2 linked regions of the Cricetulus griseus genome follow. Each later gene encodes a partner of the first gene's protein in a complex. Links are inferred from orthologs where the notes say so. Each region holds a gene or a part of one and is shown in the gene's direction. Other genes may lie near its edges. The genes, in order: Fuz and Cplane2.

The links.
Region 2: the proteins of Fuz (region 1) and Cplane2 are in contact, whole or in part, in a cryo-EM structure (PDB 7Q3E), measured with the Mus musculus proteins. The link is inferred for Cricetulus griseus from reciprocal best matches to the Homo sapiens genes FUZ and CPLANE2. Residues at the interface, in NP_081652.2 of Mus musculus: Arg26, Arg35, Ile109, Val110, Lys126, Glu127, Arg129, Ala130, Tyr132, Cys133, Asp136, Gln215, Ala216, Ala217, Arg218, Asp219, Tyr220, Pro221, Tyr223, Pro232, Leu238, Thr239, Leu240, Leu241, Arg242, Pro255, Leu256, Gly257, Gln258, Pro261; in NP_001074643.1 of Mus musculus: Glu36, Gly38, Leu39, Leu40, Glu41, Arg42, Val83, His84, His85, Glu86, Thr88, Gly89, Ile90, Gln91, Thr92, Thr93, Val94, Lys124, Phe125, Met128, Glu134.

Annotation. Positions count from the first base shown.
Region 1 is NC_048599.1:153,731,165-153,735,686, forward strand, and holds the start of Fuz (protein fuzzy homolog), read left to right. Parts: upstream 1-1,592; 5' UTR 1,593-1,760; coding exon 1,761-1,871; intron 1,872-2,079; coding exon 2,080-2,201; intron 2,202-2,448; coding exon 2,449-2,533; intron 2,534-2,793; coding exon 2,794-2,862; intron 2,863-3,054; coding exon 3,055-3,159; intron 3,160-3,936; coding exon 3,937-4,134; intron 4,135-4,212; coding exon 4,213-4,308; intron 4,309-4,429; coding exon 4,430-4,522. UniProt on the Homo sapiens protein: Probable planar cell polarity effector involved in cilium biogenesis. May regulate protein and membrane transport to the cilium.
Region 2 is NC_048595.1:12,028,319-12,032,617, reverse strand, and holds the start of Cplane2 (ciliogenesis and planar polarity effector 2), read left to right. Parts: upstream 1-1,293; 5' UTR 1,294-1,294; coding exon 1,295-1,437; intron 1,438-1,710; coding exon 1,711-1,859; intron 1,860-4,299. UniProt on the Homo sapiens protein: Required for efficient primary cilia initiation, regulating a late step in cilia initiation. Plays a role in the final maturation of the mother centriole and ciliary vesicle that allows extension of the ciliary axoneme.

The DNA of each region.
Region 1 (4,522 bases):
TACGATAACCAAGATGCTAAAAGTGCTGACTCAGGAAGATTTACAGAATCAGGAGGGTGTGGCAATGAGGACACTGGGGAAGATGGGACATAAGAATCACGGATTCAAGGCCAGCTCTTGTCACACAGGGGGATTTTGTCTCAAATATATATATATATATATATATATATATATATATATATATATCAATCTATGAAACACATCAGAAGAAATCTCGTATTTGTCAAAGGAAGGTTTTTCAATTCCTTGAATTCATAAAAATGGATTACAAAAAGACATAGAGGGCCTAGGCTCTGTTGTAGAGAGGATGAGAAGTCCAAGGCCAGTTCTGGCTACATAGCAATTTCCAGGTATGCATGGGCTACATGAGGCCCTGTTTCAAAAACACTAACACAAAGAAACAAACAAAAACAAAAAGGAAAGAAGAGAGAGAATGACAGCAACCACATTTGTGATAGAAGGCTGGAAAACTGTAGTGAGTTCCAGGCCACCCTGACCTAGAGCCTGAAATGCTCTCAGAAAATAGAAAATAAAGGTATAAAGCTGTACACACACTATTTTTAATGTTAAAAAAGTAGCACCTGGCCGGGGGTTGGTGGTGCATGCCTTTAATCCCAGCACTTGGGAGGCAGAGGCAGGTGGATCTCTGTGAGTTTGAGGCCAGCCTGGTCTCCAGAGTGAGTGCCAGGATAGGCTCCAAAGCCACACAGAGAAACCCTGTCTTGAAAAACCAAAAAAGAAAAAAAAAAAAAGTAGCACCTGTTATATATCAAGTGTGCCATGGCATGTATATCAAGGTCGATTTTGTGGAGTGGGTTCCCTCCTGCCACAAAGAGTCTGGGGACTGAACGCTAGACAGGTCTCCATAGCTGTGTGATCCGATACACTGAGCCATCTCACTGGCCCTCAGCCATCCTCTTGATGAGGAAAACTATGGAAATGATAGTACAATGATCATATTTGTGAACATCTGTCCTAGTTAGTACTTGGTGCTAACTTCTATTGTTTCATGGATTGAAGTTTTCAGCACTTTGACGTTCTACATGATACACCATCATAAGCATGAATTCATTACAGAAATAATGTGGTGGTTTTTTTTTTATGATTTTTGGAAAGGTTTTCTTTTCTTTTACCTTTTTCTAATAACAAAAACAACCACCTCATATGGTGGTTACTAAGCAACGCTGCCCGGATCAAACCACTCTGAAAAAGTGAGAGGGGGATGGTGGCACAGCTGATAATAGTTTCAGAATGGAAATTATTCTGAATAGTGGTTGCTAGGCAATGCCTGAGTATACCGCCATCTTTGAGTGGGGCAGGCAAGGTATTTACCACTATGGAGTGAAAAAAGGTTATTGTCAGGCAATACTGTCGTCATCTTCAATCAGCTTTTTAAAAAACTATCATGTAAATTAGTATAGCACACAGTAAGGTTGCTAGTCAACACCTTGGCACCATCATCATCTTCAAGCTAGCATCTTCATTCTAGTTATACAAAGGATGTGAAGCTATCCGGTAGCAATTTGAAAGCTGGGCAAACACTACTTGTCGCCATCTTTATTAGGGTCATGATGACTTCCGGTTGGGGCGGAAGAGATTCTAATCCGGTTGCAGGGTTGAGTTGAGGAAGGCGGGAATTTGGCCATCTGCTTCTCCCTCTCTGGCGGCTCCGGACAGCAGGCCGACTTTGACTACCCGCATGCTCCCAGACTCACACCGAAAGTCCCCAGGGGGTGACTTTCTGGGTTGCGGGCTTCCAGATGGGGGATGAGGGGGCAGGAAGCACGGTTCACCTGCTGTGCCTCGCTGCCTCCAGCGGGGTCCCCCTGTTCTGCAGGAGCAGCTGCGGCGGCGCCCCCTCCCGACAACAGGTGGGGCGCTGGACTCCCGACCTAACGAGAAGGGGTTTGGGGAGCTGGGACTGTGTATCTCGCAGGGAGTAGAGGCTGGGGGCCTTTGGCTGAGAAGGGGGCTCTAAAGAACTTTGGGGGAATAAGGAGGAGGCTGCAGAGTGGGACACCAGGGTCAGCGTGGGGAGGTTACTCTTCGGAGTTACTACAATGCGTCCCCTCTCCTCAGCTTCCCTTTTCTGTCATCGGCTCCCTCAATGGAGTCCATATGTTTGGGCAGAATCTGGACGTGCAACTGAACTCTGCAAGAACGGAAGACACAACCGTGGTGTGGAAGAGCTTCCATGACAGGTCCCTGGCGGGAGCAAGGAATAGAACAAAACCTATTCAGAGGTCCCTGTCTTAGATGATCCCACAGTCTGGTCAGCTGTAACTGGCTCGTGGGATCTTGGATAAGTTACTCACCCTCTCTGATCCCTGATTTTCCCAGTCGAGTCAGGATGTAGCCTGCAGTGTTGGAATAGCTGACAGACACCACTGTGTTTGGCCCCGTTTCCCCCGCTCATCTTATTCTTGCGTCTCTCCTTTCACCCCACAGCATCACCCTCATTGCTCTGTCATCCGAGGAGGGCACCTCTGAGCTGAGGCTGGAAAGAATGCTGCACATGGTGTTTGGGGCCATGGTGAGACTGGGCTGTCTTGTTCCCAAACTCAAGAGCTCTGCACTCCCAGCCCCTTTCCCTCAGTCTAACCCCCTGCATTTTTTCCCCCTCACACTCAGGCATCCAAACCTCAGCCCTCCTCTCACACACCCAGGGGCCTCTCTCATACACAGGGTTCCAGGTGGGGTCCTCCTCTCTCACTCCCATCCAAGTACTGTCATCTTTGATTAGAATCTCTTCTCCTGTGTTAAGGGTCCCACTTTCCTGTGTGACTCTTCTAGGTTCTCATTGTGGGACTTGAGGAGCTGACCAATATCCGGAATGTAGAGAGACTGAAGAAAGAGTTGAGGGTGAGGCTGTGGTGCATGAGTGCAGTTAGGATTCCCTAAAGCTTGCCTGTTTGTCTGGAACTATAATTACCAGTAGGCCCTGGGACAGCATGGGCCCATAGGTGCTTGGGGAACTTGGTGTCCCACCCCGGAGCTGGCCCCAGCCTTCTCTGGACTGTCCTGGACCTAGGCTTTTCCCTTTCCCTCTGCTAGGCCAGCTACTGTCTCATCGACAGCTTCCTGGGGAACTCTGAGCTCATCGGAGACCTGACCCAGTGTGTGGACTGTGTCATTCCTCCAGAGGGGTCCTTCATGCAGGTATTGGGGCAGCTATAGAAATAAGTGTGTCCCATCTCTAGACATCACCCCAGCATCCTCTTCCCATTCTGGAATAAGTACCTGGAACTCTTTGGAAAAGAACTTTCTTCACCAGAGTCCACCCTGATCACTTCCCCTAGGACAAGCTCCCTCCCCTTTGCCTAGTGTCCCAAGGCCTGTGAGGCCTGTGCCCTCTGGTGCTCACCAACCTGTGTGACATCCATAAATCAGCTTTAAGTTCCTCGAGGGTCTCAAACAGCCTAACACTTTGCAGGTCCAAATCTTGAAGGGAGCTCTGCCTTATCTGGGCAAATCCCTAGTTCTGCGCCGCCCCCAGCAGTGTGTTCTGACCTCTCCCAGAGCTTCTATAGACAGTAAACTGTACATGCGGTTGTTTAAAGCATTGGCTTTACAGGGCCTGCCATCCTGCCATACCATACAAAGTTTAAGATCAGCCTGTGCAACTCAGCAACACTTGACTCAAAATTCAATGTGGCTTGGCAGTAGAGCTGCTTAGCTCCCATGCCCAAAGCTTTGGGTTACAGTCTCATTACTGAAGATTAAAAAACAACAAATCAAAAGTGATGCACAGTGAATTGAGAATGCTGCCTGAAAGGGAAGTTAAAGCATTCCTGTTCACAGAGAAGGTGTGACAGGGCAGCTTGGTAGCCTAAAATACTGGAGTGTCCCCCTTGGTACTGTGGCTGCTCTTCCACTCCAGGCCCAGGTGGAGAGGTCTTTCCTTGCTTTATGACTCCTAGTGTGACCCCCTCACAGGAAACCCTGTCAGGGTTCGCGGAGGCCACTGGCACGGCCTTCGTCAGCCTGCTGGTATCAGGCCGAGTGGTGGCAGCCACCGAGGGCTGGTGGCGCCTGGGCATGCCTGAAGCCGTGCTGCTCCCCTGGCTGGTGGGGTCCCTGCCACCACAGGCTGCCCGTGACTACCCCGTGTACCTGCCTCACGGGAGCCCCACGGTGAGTGGGAGGGGGAAGGGGCGGGACCTCTGGTGGGCGGGGCCGGGGGCCTACTTAGCCCCCTGCACCCTGCTGCAGGTCCCGCATCGGCTGTTGACCCTCACGCTCCTGCGGGGCCTGGAGCTGTGTCTGCTGTGCGGGCCGCGCCCGCCCCTCAGCCAGCTGGACCCACAGGTGAGGCTGCTGTCACCCCCTCCTGCTGTAGTCCCCAGCCACCTGCTGCGGTTCCTAGCCACCCAAGCTCCGCTCCCCAGCCCCGGCCCTGACCTCACACGAACCACGCTGCCCTCTGCAGTTGTTGGAACGCTGGTGGCAGCCGCTGCTGGAGCCCCTCCGGGCCTGTCTGCCTCTGGGCCCTAGGGTACTGCCTGAAGGTTTCCCGCTACAC
Region 2 (4,299 bases), on another chromosome or scaffold:
CCCTGACTGTGCTGATTCTCAGCACTGTGGAGGCACCGGGAGCATGAGCAACGGATTCCAGCCACAGAGCCCTGTACAAATGCTTTCCTCCCGTCCTTCTGCCCCATGCAGTGTAGGCCGGTGAGGGAAGCACCCGCTCTTGCGCCCTTCTCCCTTCCCTACCCGCTTCCTGCTGCCAGCTTCACTAGCCCCTCCTAGGTGCTAGGGGTGAAGTGGTGAAAACCCAAAACCCAATCTGGCTGAATGGATACGTGTTTTTAGAGTCAGGTAACTTACCCAGGCTTCTGAGTCTGTTTTTCCACTGACTGGCTGTGAGGCGGGTGTAACCTCAGACAAGTCATGTCATCCCTCTGAGTTTCTTCATCTGTAATAGAAAAGCCATGACGCTGTTTATATGGAGACGAGTGCTGTAGACCCCAGTGCCGCAGCCCCCACAGAGCGCCCACCCCTCCTCCATTGCGCGGCAGTGGCTGGCCCCACTTGAAGACACTGTGCAGGATGCCGGTGAAGATTAAATGTAATAGCCACCTCTCAGAGGTGGCCCCACGTCCTGTCCCGCTCACAGGCATTTACTGAGCAGCCACCTTCTGGGTTGCTCACAGGCCCAGGCTGGAGCATCCAGTCCCAGGGCAGGACTGTGGCTCACCCTGGCAGGCACAGCACCAGCTAGATGCTGAGCACACAGCTGGGGGTTGGTCACTGCTGCAGAAAAGGAATGAATAAATCAATTAGTAAACAGATGACTCTCTATTCAGACCTCTTAGAAAGTTCCTTGACTTCTGCATCCAGAAGTGTTTGATGCTGGCCAGGCCTGAGCAGGATTGCTGGGGCCGTGACATTAATAACATCAACATAATAACCAAACCGGCTGAGCTGTGTTGGCCAGACACTGTTGTAAAGAATGCTATGAGGCGTGGTGGTGCACACACCTTTAATGCCAGCACTAGAGAGGCAGCCGCAGGAGGGTCTCTGTGAGTTCGAGGCCAGCCTGGTCTACATAGGATGATTCAGTCCAGCCAGGGATACATAGTGAGACCATCTCCAAAAAAAAAAAGGGGGGGGGAGCATTTAATGTTAAAGTCCACTTTGCAGAAGAGGAAACTGAGGTACAGAGAACCGAGGAAGCCTCCTTCCTGCCCCCGGGAGGGCGGGGGAGGTGATCATGTTGAGAGGAAAATCTGAGGTCAGACTGGTAAAACCGAAGGAGCTCCAGCTGAGGGAAGGAACTGCAGACCTTGCAGAACCCACAAAAGACCGGCCTGAATTCGGGAGCCCCGCCTCCCCCTGCGTCGCCATGGCAGCGCCCTGCACATGCGCCTGGCGGACCGCGCGGCTAGGCCTGGCGGACGCAGGCTCTGCGGGCAGGGCGAGACCACAGGGCGGGCTTTTAAAGGGATCCTCCCTGGTCCAGCCGGCCGGGTCGCTGGAAGTGTGGAGGTCGGTGGTCCCGGGAGTGGGAGTCTAGGAGGCAGAGGTGAAACGGGGCTGAGACTCTCGGGAGGTGCTAGGGCAGAAGAGGCTTGTGGAAATACCTTCCCAGGACAAGGATGGGCTGTTTGCGCAGAGAGCGAGCGTTGTGGAGGAGCGGGGCTATGGAAATGCACCTTTGGGTGAGGAGCCAGGCTCCAAGGGAGAGCCAGAGAGAGATTAAGAGGAACCCCCGGGCGGGCTTGGGGTAATGGTTACCCCTCTCTCCACTCCTACTCCCAGTATTCTGCCCCATCCCAACCTCACTGCGTGTTCAGCCATGGCCAGACCTCCCGTGCACGGTTCGGTGATTGTCCCAGACTGGCATGAGACGGTCGAGGGCAAGGAGTACTTAGCCTGCATCCTGCGCAAGAGTCGCCGGCGGGAGTTTGGTAAGTGCCTCCCTCACCGCGAACGCTTGACACGCCCTCCCTGGGGTGGCAGAAACAGGACAGTGGGACCTGCGCCACAGCAGTCTCTAGGGCCGCCTCACCCACATGTTCTTAGAGGACCTTTGTGAAGGGCCTGGAGCCTGGAGCATGGAAACGGCCCATCCCTGCCAACAGCAGCTGTCACCAGAGATGCTGTTGACTGGGCCCTCCTCACCTGGGGTCATGCCCTCTGCTGGGCACTTTGCACAGTGGCCTTCTGTGCAACCTGTTTTTAGACATGGTTTCACTATGTAGCCAGAACTCGTTATGTAGATCAGACTGGCCTTGAACTCAGAGAGCTCCACCTGCCTCTGTCTTCCCAGTGCTGGGATTAAAGTCAGGCTTGCAACCATTCAACCTTCTTCTCCCCTCCCTCTCTTTCTCCTTCTCCCAACCCCTTTCTGTTGTTGTTTTTGTCTTTTTCTCTATGTAGCCCCTGGCTGTCCTGAAACTCTCTGTAGACCAGGCTGGCCTCGAACTCAGAGATCTGCCTGCCTCTGCGTCTGAGTGCTGGGATTAGGCATGTGCCACCTAAGGGGCTCACTAAGGGGAGCCCCTTTAGTGTCTTCCTGCCTAGGGTAAGACATCGGTGTCCCAGGATTAAGCAGATTACCCAAGCAAGGCCCCAGTTAACAGGCCAAGAGGCATGGCGTCTGCTTTGGGTTCAGGCCAAGGCTACTGGCCTGAACAAATTCAGGGATTGCCTGGACAACACTGAAAGATTCTATCTCATGAGGGCTGGGTATCACCCTGCATGCAAGGGCTGTTCTGTCCCTGGTGCCACAAAGAACAGAATAGAGACTAGCTCGAAACTTAGGACTTCAAGTCATTAGACTACGCAATATCATCATTTTTGACTTTTTATGTGCAAGGTTTTTTTTTTGTTTGTTTGTTTGTTTGTTTTTCGAGACAGGGTTTCTCTGTGCAACTTTGGAGCCTATCCTGGCACTTGCTCTGGAGACCAGGCTGGCCTTGAACTCACAGAGAACTGCCTGCCTCTGCCTCCCGAGTGCTGGGATTAAAGGCATGTGCCACCACCGCCCGGCTATGTGCAACTTTTTAATTATTAAGTATTCTTTGTGTGTCTGTGTGTGATACTGACATGTGTATCTGTGCACACATGCATGCAGTGTCCTCAGTCAGAAGTCAGAAGAGGAGAGCAGAGAGATCCCCTGAGACTGGAACCCCTGTCTTCTGGAAGAGCAGCTGGTGCTCTTAACCACTGAGCCATCTCTCCAACCCCTCTGTGAAAGTTTTAAGAACTCATAAAGACATCAATGATTTGGTTTTATGGGATTTATTTCTAGTAGCTGTAAATACTGTTGCTTATATTTCCCTATTAAAGAAGAAACTGTAAAACACCACGTTTTGTGTATGAGGAATCCAGATTGAATAGTTAACTGTATCAATAGACAATATTTCAAAGTCTGGCAGTGGTAGAGCACGCCTTTAATCCCAGCACTCGGGAGGCAGAGGCAGGTGGATCTCTGTGAGTTCGAGGCCAGCCTGCTCTACAAAGAGAGTTCCAGGACAGGAACTCTAGCTACACAGAGAAACCCTGTGTCAAAAACAAACAAACAAAAATTCAAACATCAAGCTTAAAAGTGGCCTGGAGGAGCTGGAGAGAGAGCAGTTAAGAGCACCAGCTGCTTTTCCAAATGGCCTAGGCTGAGTTCCCAGCATCCAGTGGTAGATCACAATACCTCCTTCTGGCCTTGTAGGCACCAGGCATGCACATGGTATACATACATACATGTAGGTACTCATCAAAATAAATACAAAAGTTCAAACAAAATAACAACAAGAAGAACTTGGTGTTTGGGGGCCAGTGACATGGCTCAACTAGCACAAGCTTTACGGCCTGGATTGGATCCCCAGAAGCCTGATAAGGTGGGAGGAGAAAACCAGCTTCTCAAAGGTCCTCAGACCCTGGGAGAGATACCCGGTATCTAAAGCTAACTAGCCAGCTTGGTTCTCAGCCTTCGGCTCAGCTCTACAGAGGCCCAGAATAGACAGAGACCGGTTGCCAAGGATCTCACAGTTCATTTGCTTCACATGTGTAATGTGTCCTTCACATGTGTAATGTGACATGGACATACTCCCACATGATAATATACAGAATAATAAATGCTTAATACAAATCTCACATTGGCCATCGCTTACACATGTGAAGTTTGAGCTAGAATCGTTTGTCACTGATGATGGTAGTGACGACAATTTGTAAATAACTCACTTAAAAATAAAAAGTATAGCCTGGAGGTGGAGGTGCACACCTTTAGTCTCAACACTCAGGAGACAGAGACAGGTATACCAATGTGAGTTCTAGGACAGTCAGGGCTACAGAGTGAGTTCTAGGACATCCAGGGCTGCCTAGAGAAACCCTGTGTCCAAAAGCAAAAAC